Linked DNA regions of Drosophila melanogaster. The protein of the gene in region 2 purifies or fractionates together with the protein of the main gene of each other region. This does not show direct contact. Each region holds a gene or a part of one and is shown on either strand. Other genes may lie near its edges.

Region 1 (4,799 bases), on a different chromosome or scaffold from region 2:
CGGGACGGTATATACAACCGAATATTATACTGGGAAATACCAAAACATACTGGGACGTCAAATGAAGGTAAATATAAGAATGTGCGTCAAATTGGTATTAATGGATATAAATAAATAAAAATGCAACAATGTACGAAAGCATATCAAGAAATTATACCAAACATGCAATTGAAAAATCGGCTCCTACTCTTTGAAGAGTATCTCCACTCGCAGAGCTTGTAACACGCTAGACCACCATAAATAGTTTACGTAGTGACGAATCAGACACCCTCCGAAGGCCACTAACCATCATTCAGGAAAATGCTTTGATACTTAATTCGAAATATGTTTTCAAAGCATAATTGTATAAATGAAACATTAACTGTACCAATTTAGGAAAGAACAATTGTTTGGGGAAAACATCTATAGAATGGCAATTTAATGATTTACGTTGTAAAAGCGGTTTAAAACTTTTTTCTTAAACTTATCCAAAATTTATCAAAATATTAATAATTAGATAAAACACAGCAACATTTTATGGCAATGTGTATTTCAAATGCTTGTTTTTGTTTTATTTAAGTATCAGTAGTGTACACAATGTTAAGTTTAAAAGAGGCAGGTCCAAAACTAAGTCGATTTGTTTCTGAATTGACTTGGTGGAAAAGGTATTTGGGCGGTCGCATTGCGAATTGATTGCTTTGTACATTATGTTACTAACCTTACCTAATTAACACAATAACATGGGTTAGAGACAAATTTATGGGTCTAGTGCTGTTGGATTAAATTACTTAAATATATATATATATATATATATATATATATATATATATATATATATACATATTTGTATATACACGCTTCGGCACTTTGAGAAGTCTGGATCTGTTGCGTGGGTATTTGGTTTGAGGCTCTAGTCTCCCATGTAAACGAAATCGTCATCCTGGACGTCATCGTTTTGGCGCACAGCCATGGCAGTTTCCACTAGATAATAGAGACACTTGTACTTGCCCTCCTCATCTGAACTGGTGCCTAAGCGAGATTTTAAAATAAAATTATAAAAATGTTATAAAATAATTAAAAAGTTGAATAAAAACAGGTATAGGTTACCCTGCGATAGAGCAGATAATTGACTCTGGCCAGCTTCTGCTTCGGCACCGGTAAACACCTCGTCCGCCTGTAGATTGTCACCAATGTCCTGTTGATTGGAGTTGGTAGGATCGATTGTCTGGATTTCTGAGGCCTGTATTATATTCAGCTCGCTTTCAAAGTCTGTCAACTGTTGATTCACTTTAGGAGTAAAAGAGTTGGATATTACCAAAGAAACCGAGCTCTAAGTCTGCAAACTTCACTCACCGTCACGCTTCGCAGTCTGATTGCGATTCCAGATGGCGGTATTCTGAACAGATGCCTTAGAACCAGAGGTACCTGGATTATTGCCAGCCGAAGTGCTGACTTCCTCAGTCCCAAATACAGTTCTGGAATTGCAGAGGCCGAGATTACAATATTTTCTTAATACATCCACATAGCTACTTACTTTATAACGCTCTGCCAATCATGGGAGGTCTCGAAGCGTACTTCCTCCTCGCTGTTCGGCCCACAGGACTCGTATCCCTGTGCACTCTCTTCGCCTTCGGACCTGGGGGTAAAAGTAAAATCTTAGCACCGCCAGTCGCACTTGAGTAAGATTTAAGGCTCTGGATCAGTCAATGGGAGCAGAAGCTGTACCTAGGAGACACCACGATTCCGCCGTATGAATCCTTATAGCAGTACATGGTTTCTTGCTTATTCCCAGTCTTCTGCTTTGCTTGCTTGGCATTCTCCCTAGGACTCTTTGCAGCAACCGTCCGCGTTCTTACGCGCTTCGGAGGTCTTGGCTTTTCTTCGTCATCGAACTCTGGCGGCAGCTGGCCAAAAAGGCTGTATGGCAGTATGGATGTGGCAGGACTGGAGTTGGAGCTCGACCCACCAGCACCACCAGAGCCAACCGCCGAACCCCCAATGGCGGCAGCCTTGCGCATCTGATAGTTTTTAATTTTATCGATCATGGTTGCTTGAAGCGAGGAGTGAAGACTTTGAAAGCCCATCGGGTTGTTTGCAATGGCCTGCTGCCAGCTTGGAAGAGGAAAAGGAGTTTGGACGTAGGTGGGATGGGATAGGAGATAGAAGTGACTAACGCTAGGGAAGCAGGTCATAAAGACCGGTTACCAGTTACCTGTAGATGACACTGTCCTCGTACTCCGGCTCCATCTTGACCATTTGTCCGTTGGGGCCCTGCACATACTGTTCAAAGTTGGTCAGCACATTGGCGATGCCCTCGTGAATCTCACCGGCGCCATCCACCTCCTCTGTAGCGCCAACGACCTGGAGTCAAGCAATTTAGTAACTTCAGTGGTATAATGATTGACCAGAAGATAACACACCACTTCGGAAGCAGGACTTCCGTGTGCGGGATTCGGCCCAGTCAAGTTTGCGCCCAACGCACTTGATCTCGAACAGTTGGGGCTAACCTTTTTGCCACGTCGCGATATGGTGAAGTGCAGAGGATCGTTGCCCTCGCGCCTGATCATCTCGGGTAGAATGCGGCGACGGGCATTGATGAACCAGTTGCACACTTGGAGCACCGTCAGATTGGCCTCCTGGGACAGGGTGAACTTCTCCGCATCGCTCGGATAGGCGTTATAGCGGTGCTCATAAAGCCAACGCTTTAAAATCTTTACAGATGACTTGGGCAGATTTCCGCGACGTTTGCGCAGCGACCCATTAATGTCGACGTGGTGTTCACTGTCCACCATCATGTCGTGGTAGTTTTGCACCTGGTTGGCGCCTTGTTCGGTGCTCAGATCATTCCCAACGACGGCGTGAAGGGAATCCTGGTCCAAACTGGAGTCCGAGTGGAAACGGTCACGTCCTGGAGAAAAAAACGGCCATAAACAAGACTGATCTCAACCGGGATATAGGAAACTCACCCTCGTTGTTCAGCAGGCTCGCATGGACATGAGCCTCGTGCATCAGGTCCTTTATGTTCTGCCGTACATGGCGATCCAGGACCATGTTGACCTCCTCTTGTTCCGGCGAGATCATTGCAGCTCAGACTTAAGCTTCAGAAAACAGAAAATTCATTAAAACACAACCAGAATCGGTGTGCAAATATTGAAAGGAAAAGCACAGTAACTTTAATTACAATTTTTGCAAACAGAGAAAATTGACACTTTTTAGTTTCTTTAGGTGTTGTCACCACAGACTTTGAGATTCAACTAACTTTTCCCGAGGGCAGGCAAGTCATTCAGACACCAAAGTCATGGCCAACTAGGGTTCAAAAACAAATTTTTTCAATTGATTTTTAAAAATGGTTCTTTTCAATCGGTCTGCTTGTATCGAACGTATTAAAGTAAGTAATTAAGTACAGGAGAATTTTATAAATATTTAAAATTAATTAAGTTAGGGCCAACTATCGATAACTATCGCACAAACATTGCGCTTGCACACGAGAGACCATGAATATTTAGACAAATTCACTGCGCGCCCAAGTAACGGGCGTCTCGAAATGTACTTTTTACCTTATCCAAAATTTATAAAAATTTTGATTTGTAAAATTTAGACAAGCGCATTTATTTGGTCAAATGTAATATCATTTTGATTTCAGAAGATTTGTATGTTGGAGGTGCGATCGTCACTTGTTATACCCGTTACTCGTAGAGTAAAAAGGTATACTAGATTCGTTATAAAGTATGTAATAGCAGAGGGAAGCTTCTCCGACCATATAAAACACATATATTCTTGATCAGGATCAATACCCGAGTCGACCTGTCCGTCCGTCCGTCTGACTGTCCGTTCGTATGAAGTCAGGAACTATCACAAGTTTGTGGACCTATTTTGCCACGTCCACTCCAACGCTTTCAAACCGTACAAAATGCCACTCCCACACTTTTGAAAAATGAAAACTTTTTGCCACGCCCACTGTAACGCCCTAAAACAGCGCAAAACTCACGCCCTCATTTTTGAAAATTTTTGGATATTTCTTTTTTCCGAATTATCTATCAATACCCCAGAAAAATTATGAAATTTCTTGTTCACATTTTCACATATATGTACCGGGTATCTGATAGCCGGGGAACTCGAATATATCATTCTTTTTTTTTGTTCTATAGCTTTATAGTTAAAAATCGAATCATTTTGTTTTTGCGCCACTCTTTATTATCTGTGGTAACCAAAGTATTCCAATACATTTATAATATTTATAACAAAATTAATTTTGTCCTTCCACAAACGTTCTCATTTTATGTATGTATGTGTACATAATTACTAGATACCTTAAAAAAATGGCTCTATCAGCCAATTAGATAAAACACACCATCATTTTATGGCAATGTGTATTTCAAATGCTTGTTTATGTTTTATTTAAGTATCAGTAGTGTACATGTTAAGTTTAAAAGAGTCAGGTCCAAAACTAAGTCGATTTGTTTGTGAATTGACTTTGTGGAAAAAGGTATTTGGGCGGTCGCATTGCGAATTGATCTATAGCTTTGTACGTTATGTTAGTAACCTACTCAATTAACACAATAACATGGGGGTTATAGACAAATTTTTGGGTCTAGTGCTGTTCGATTAAATTACTTAAGTATATATATATATCTATATATACATATTTGTATATACACGCTTCGGCACTTTGGGAAGTCGGGATCTGTAGCGTGGGTATTTGGTTTGAGGCTCTAGTCTCCCATGTAAACGAAATCGTCATCCTGGACGTCATCGTTTTGGCGCACAGCCATGGCAGTTTCCACTAGATAATAGAGACACTTGTACTTGGCACGCTCATC
Region 2 (5,644 bases):
TACATTTATGGTTAGATCGATTAATAAATTAAAAAGGGGGTTTTCAATAAACTTTGAGATGCCAAATAGTAAAATATCTTTCATTAGTTTGATTAGCAAACCCACCGAGTGCCGTATTATTGAAGCAGTGAATGAGCTCCACCCGCAGGTGAGAGTGCATCTCCCGGGCAATCCCCTCCTGGTCCAGCCACTGGCGGAACTTCACCTCGAACTCCTGCTCCGACATCGCGGCCAGTTCCTCGAGCTGTTGCCTCAGCCGTTCCGCCCTGGCATCGGAGTCATCCTGCTCCTCAATCTGATCCTGAGGAATAGGTACGTGCTTTCTGGTAGGCCTTCCTGTGCGGTATCCGTGTGCTCCAACCTCCGGGGGCAATGATGATCCCCGCGTTACTGAACACAAAATGGGATTATCAGTGAATATGAATCGCTATTAAGTTCGTAAAGGTTTATTGTACTGAATATTTTAATTTGAAAAGATTATTTTTCGAACAAATTTGTGTACGTCGGAGTATAAAGATTGCTGGTTTCTTAGAGTTATAATAATAATAATAAAAATAGTTATAATAATAATATTAATAATAAAAATAATTATTATAATAATAATAATAATAGTTATAATAATAATAATACTTATAATAATAATAATAAAAATATTAATATTATTATAAAAATAATAGGCCCACCTCTAGTTATATTTGATGGTCCGCACGGTCCTGGTCTGCCCAGTCCGGTTGCTTGGAGTCGCTCCCTGGACTGCGTCATTCTCCGCCTGGCGGGATCGCCGTCGGTGCTGATCCTTCGATTATGCTGGCGCACCCGCTGTGTCGCCGACGCCGCTGTGGCCCGCTCCTGCTTAATCTGCTCCTCCCGCTCCCGCTTTGCGGCCTCGTGCTTCCGCTCCCGCTCGCAAGGCATGCCGATGCCGCCCACATCCCGCTGCTTCGCCCTGAACGATAACGTTGTCGTGCTCGCCGGCACGTGGCGAACCTTCATGCCGTCCTGAAGGAACTCGAGGCTCGGATGGGATCGAGAGTTGGTCTGCGTATGCTCGGATAGAACCTCTGACCGCCGCTTACATGCGCCGCGTTTGAGTAACTGAACTTTCCAGGTAAAACGAGCACGAGCGCAAGACACTCACCACCAACAGCGAAATGTGACAGGTGCGACGGAGCCTGCCCTGCCACCTGGGAACTGAGTGAAATTGGGGAGGAGGTCAACTCGATCGTCGGGGGTTGGTCCTCCTAAAGGCGTCAGCTGTGTTGCCTATGTGAAGCGTGCTCTAAAAATTAAGTGAAATATATGACAACTGAGTTCTATGAAATGGTATTCTAAGCAAAAGCTTATTTATCATAAGTAATTGCTCACTAATACTTATAACGGCGGCAGTATTTACTGCCGAGCCCATATTAAAACAGCAATACTTCTTGTGGAAGCGTGTATTTGGTGTATTTTTCACAATAATAATATTTTGAATTTTAATTCAAAACAGTTCCGCTTTAAAGTTGGCAGTTGACTATCGATAGATAATTGTCCGCAAAACAGCTGATTGCTAAGTAGTAAGTGCATCAGCCGTACTGACGGTGAAACTGAAATATGAGTTTCTTGCGTTAAATGGTATAGAAATAATATAATATAAATCAACAAGCACAGCTGTGTTTGCCAATGCGTTTTTATAAAAAACCAAATTTGAAGACTTTGACTATTAACGGGCAGAACGTTCATGTCAGTCAGCTTTTGCAAGCGTTTCGCTGTGGCTGACAGATGGCCGAGTGCTGCAAGAGCCGATAGCTATCGAGTTGCAGTTGTTGTGTCAAACGACAAAAAAGACCCAATTGCGGTGATTCCACCAGGCAGAGCTTATCCCATACGAAGACGCAGCACAGTTCACATTAAATAAATTTCCGTAAATAGTTCTTATTTGTCACCCGCCCAAAATTAAAGTCTACTCCACTGCACCCAACCCCGCGATTATCAACGACTGCGCATCGTTCTTTGTTGTTTCGTGTAGAAACACATGTGCAAGGAAGAAGAAGAACCAGAACATCACATCACTCGTAAATAGTAAATATCTAGAGCATGCCCGATCCTTTGTGACGCGTCAGTTTCAGCCAGTTCGCCACAATTTTTGCCAAGTCATCGTCGAAAATGTCACAAAACGACAACCTACTCATCCAGATCCGCGCCCTTCTCCAGTCCGATGGCGAGAAGCTGTGGGAGGAGCCCTACTACTCCGAAGATCTTGGTAGCATCGAGGGAGCACTAGAAGTACGTACTATATGCCCACCACCCCACACCTAAATGCCTTCCAGTCAGTGGTCGGGGAAATGACAAGAATGCCTGAAATACGGTTGGCAATATAGAAATATTATATTCAAAATGCATATATTATATATATATATATATATATATATTATATATTTATTTGTTAGTTCTTTTCACATTTGAAGAAGTAAGAAGCTAGTTTCGACAAGCCGTAACTTATATACACCTTCAGCTAAGTTCATATTATTAACACTTATTTTAGTTTGATTAGTTTGATCATATGATATTATTGTCCAATTAAAAATACTTAAAAAAAAAACAACATGACATTGCACAAACGAATCTTTTAAATTCCTATTATACTTTAATAATTCTGAATTACAAGAGTAACGACAAAGATATTATTTAGTTTCCTTATATAGGTTTTTGATCTGTTTCGCTTCGACTTATTTATAACGCCTAGAATAAAAATAAGATTTTAAACCGATAGATTTGTTGGCGTGTGAAAATGTGATTGCTTTCTTGAATTATTATTTATTTTTCAATAAATAGAGGTTGAGGGATTTTAAAAATAAAGTAAGACCAATAGTAGTCAAAAGAATAGCACATTACCAGCATTCATACTCAGGAACTCAGTAGCTTTGGATTAATATAATATATAATATTTTATTCTATAATAAGATGTGTATCCATTTCATTAAAGAACCTGGCGCAGAAGTACTCCGGCATGTTGGGCATCGATATAGGTCGCTGCAAGTTCTTTTTGACCGAGCTGCAGGAAAATGCTCTCCGTACGCTGGCCGCCCGACGTGAGTTCAGCACCACAGGAATTGCCACGTTGAAGGTTCGCCGCGTTGGCGAGCACAGCGGTGCCACAATGGTGGAAGTGAAGTGCAGCTTGGACATCGTGGGCTCCGAACTCCAGGCATGCATAGCGAAGAAACTGGAAGTGCCGAATGCTGCGCACGTCAAGTGCATCGCTGCCGGCAAAGTGGTGTCCGCCAATGCCACTTTGGCCGACCAGCAGTTGAAGAACAACCAGCAGTTGATTGTCATTGTGGGCGATGGGGATAATTCTGGCGAAGCCCTGTACGAAAGGATCAATCGCATCAAGGCCGATGTGGAGGCGGTGGTGTCCTCGAAGAATAACCTAATAGAGGTGAGTAAATCGGAAGGAAAGTTGCTTAGGTTGTTGTTTAGAAGGTTTTTTAAATCACACCACTTGTTTGTATTTTCGTGTCATGCCCAGATGGAGGATCAGAATGGCAGCCAAGTGTATTTGCCGCCTTCCGAGCATAAAGCCCTGCTCATGGGTTTGGGATTCTGTGAGAAGGCCCGTGCGGCCATGAATCGCAAGCATTTTGAGGAGGCTCTGCTCCTGCTTTTGGAGGCCGACGAGCATTTTTCTACCTGTGGCTCAAAGTTTCTAGAGTCCGTGGATAACTATGCTTTGCTGAACCTCGACATAGTGTGGTGCTATTTTTGCCTGAAGAACGTTACCCAGCTCCCGGATGCTGAGCATCGCTTGGCCCGCTGCAGTCGCAATTTCGGCATCAGCTATGGCGACAATTTGGAGAGGCTGTACTCCTTGAAGGGCAAGGACTGTCCCGAGAGGGCTTTAATTATGCGGCTTAAGTTGCTCCAGGGCGTGATCTTCTTCCACCAGAATCTTCGCAATCAGGCATTTGAGTGCTTCGAAGCGGCTAAAACTCTGCTAAATGAACTAAAGATCAACAACGACCAACTGGCTCTCCTGGTCGATATGGGCTTCGAGCCCTCCGAGGCTCGTATGGCCCTGCGCTCCTGCAAGGGCGGCACCGCCGTCGAACAGGCTGTTCAGTTTATTCACGAGCGTCGTCAGCAGCTCAAGAATGCACGCATGAAATATAAAGCGTCCGAGCGTGCTATGGAGCGCCGCCTGAAGCGCTCCAATTCCAAAGATTGCACCTGGGTGAATCCCCGCAGTGTCTGCAGCCTTGCTGACATGGGATTCGAGAGCGGACTGGCCACTATCGCCTTGCAGCGCTCTAATAATGATATCCTCCAAGCGGTAAGTGTGGCCAAGAATATATTCAATGACATGAATTGATCAGTATGTTTTAACTATAATCTCATGGATGTCACGTGTTTGTAAACTATAAAATAATAGAAATATTTTTTTCTTAGGTGGAACTGCTGCAGACAGAATCGGACGAACTTACTGGTGCTTCGCCATGGTTTCCGGTCACCGTAGACACGACCAAACTGGCTCAGCTTCTGCAACTGGGATTCAACGAGAACGACTCGCGCGTGGCCCTACAGAATGCATCAAATAACATGGAAGAGGCCATCGAGAGTCTGATGTGCGCCATAGAGAGCGAGGAGGAGCTGAAAGCGATTTTAAAGCACGTTGGGCGTTTGGCCGAAAATGGTGGGCAAAATCTTGACGGCCCCTCTACTTCGAACGCCTCCGGGCAGACGCAAGTTGCTTTGCCAGCGCCCATTATCGAAGCTGTTATCAATCATGCTCGCGTCGAGATTGAAACGTACAAGGCCTACGAGCGCTTTAACTCCGACCTCAAACTGAGCGACCTGGAATACCTGGACTTGCCACTTATCCAGGAGGAGAAGATCCTGACTGAGTATTTCAATATGCTGCAGCAGTAGCTTGTATTTGACTTGCCTTTTTTATATCTATACAAAAAAATATAGAAACCCGAAACCGGTTGTCAAGATAACTGTAATCATGACTTGTCTATATTGCAAATCGTAGTCTTATAATGGCACTTAAGTGGCATTCAGCTCCCCTCCCGGCTGCTGTTTGTCCAACTAGGCAAATAGTAAAATATAGAGATTTATAAGTACATGCCTTCTATTGACAACTGCAAAATGTGATTGCGCCGAGCCAGCGGGAGAATTCACCTTTTGGAGCCACCTGAAACTTGTTAGCGCCTCTGGTCATTGCTTATTTTTTTTTTATCGTTTGTTTTTTTTTTTGTCGCTTGACTCTCGACCCCGGCTCGGACGGCGGCGCTTGATTGGGTTCAGTCGTGACCTTGTCGAGGCCAAAGGGCGCCGCTCACTAAGCTCATCCCGTCGACGAATTGAGCGGAACTTACACGATTTGCTGTAAGTATTTGCTTTGCTTAGCAAAGAATTTATTTATTTATTCAAGTAGCACCAAGACTAAATATTATAAGTCAACTAATTGGTTTTCTATATGTATGTACATACATATGTGTAAAATAGTAATTTTCTATTTATACACGTTACTCGCAGAGTGAATAGTATGTAAAATGTTGTCTTGTACAAATTGGCACGGTGCCATAGGATTAAAGTATCCTGCGGCAAATGTGTTGCAAACATGTGTTTTTACATCCTTGTTGGGCGAAATGAAAAATTT

What was found. The genes of interacting proteins can lie anywhere in the genome.
Region 1: the proteins of CG15445 (region 2) and vis purify together in Drosophila melanogaster (affinity purification with mass spectrometry, with the first as the bait; 2 studies listed by BioGRID). This does not show direct contact.

Annotation. Positions count from the first base shown.
Region 1 is NT_033778.4:12,507,380-12,512,178, forward strand, and holds vis (vismay), read right to left. Parts: upstream 3,237-4,799; 5' UTR 3,061-3,236; coding exon 2,946-3,060; intron 2,888-2,945; coding exon 2,487-2,887; coding exon of another isoform or gene 2,400-2,486; intron 2,341-2,399; coding exon 2,192-2,340; intron 2,092-2,191; coding exon 1,705-2,091; intron 1,616-1,704; coding exon 1,514-1,615; intron 1,455-1,513; coding exon 1,333-1,454; intron 1,267-1,332; coding exon 1,087-1,266; intron 1,009-1,086; coding exon 890-1,008; 3' UTR 517-889; downstream 1-516. Other genes in the region: achi (achintya), read right to left, coding at 4,692-4,799.
Region 2 is NC_004354.4:21,115,351-21,120,994, forward strand, and holds CG15445 (uncharacterized protein), read left to right. Parts: upstream 1-1,810; 5' UTR 1,811-2,054; exon of another isoform or gene 2,055-2,112; 5' UTR 2,113-2,145; coding exon 2,146-2,265; intron 2,266-2,965; coding exon 2,966-3,421; intron 3,422-3,511; coding exon 3,512-4,312; exon of another isoform or gene 4,313-4,397; intron 4,398-4,428; coding exon 4,429-4,908; 3' UTR 4,909-5,094; downstream 5,095-5,644. Other genes in the region: unc (uncoordinated), read right to left, coding at 106-390, 684-993.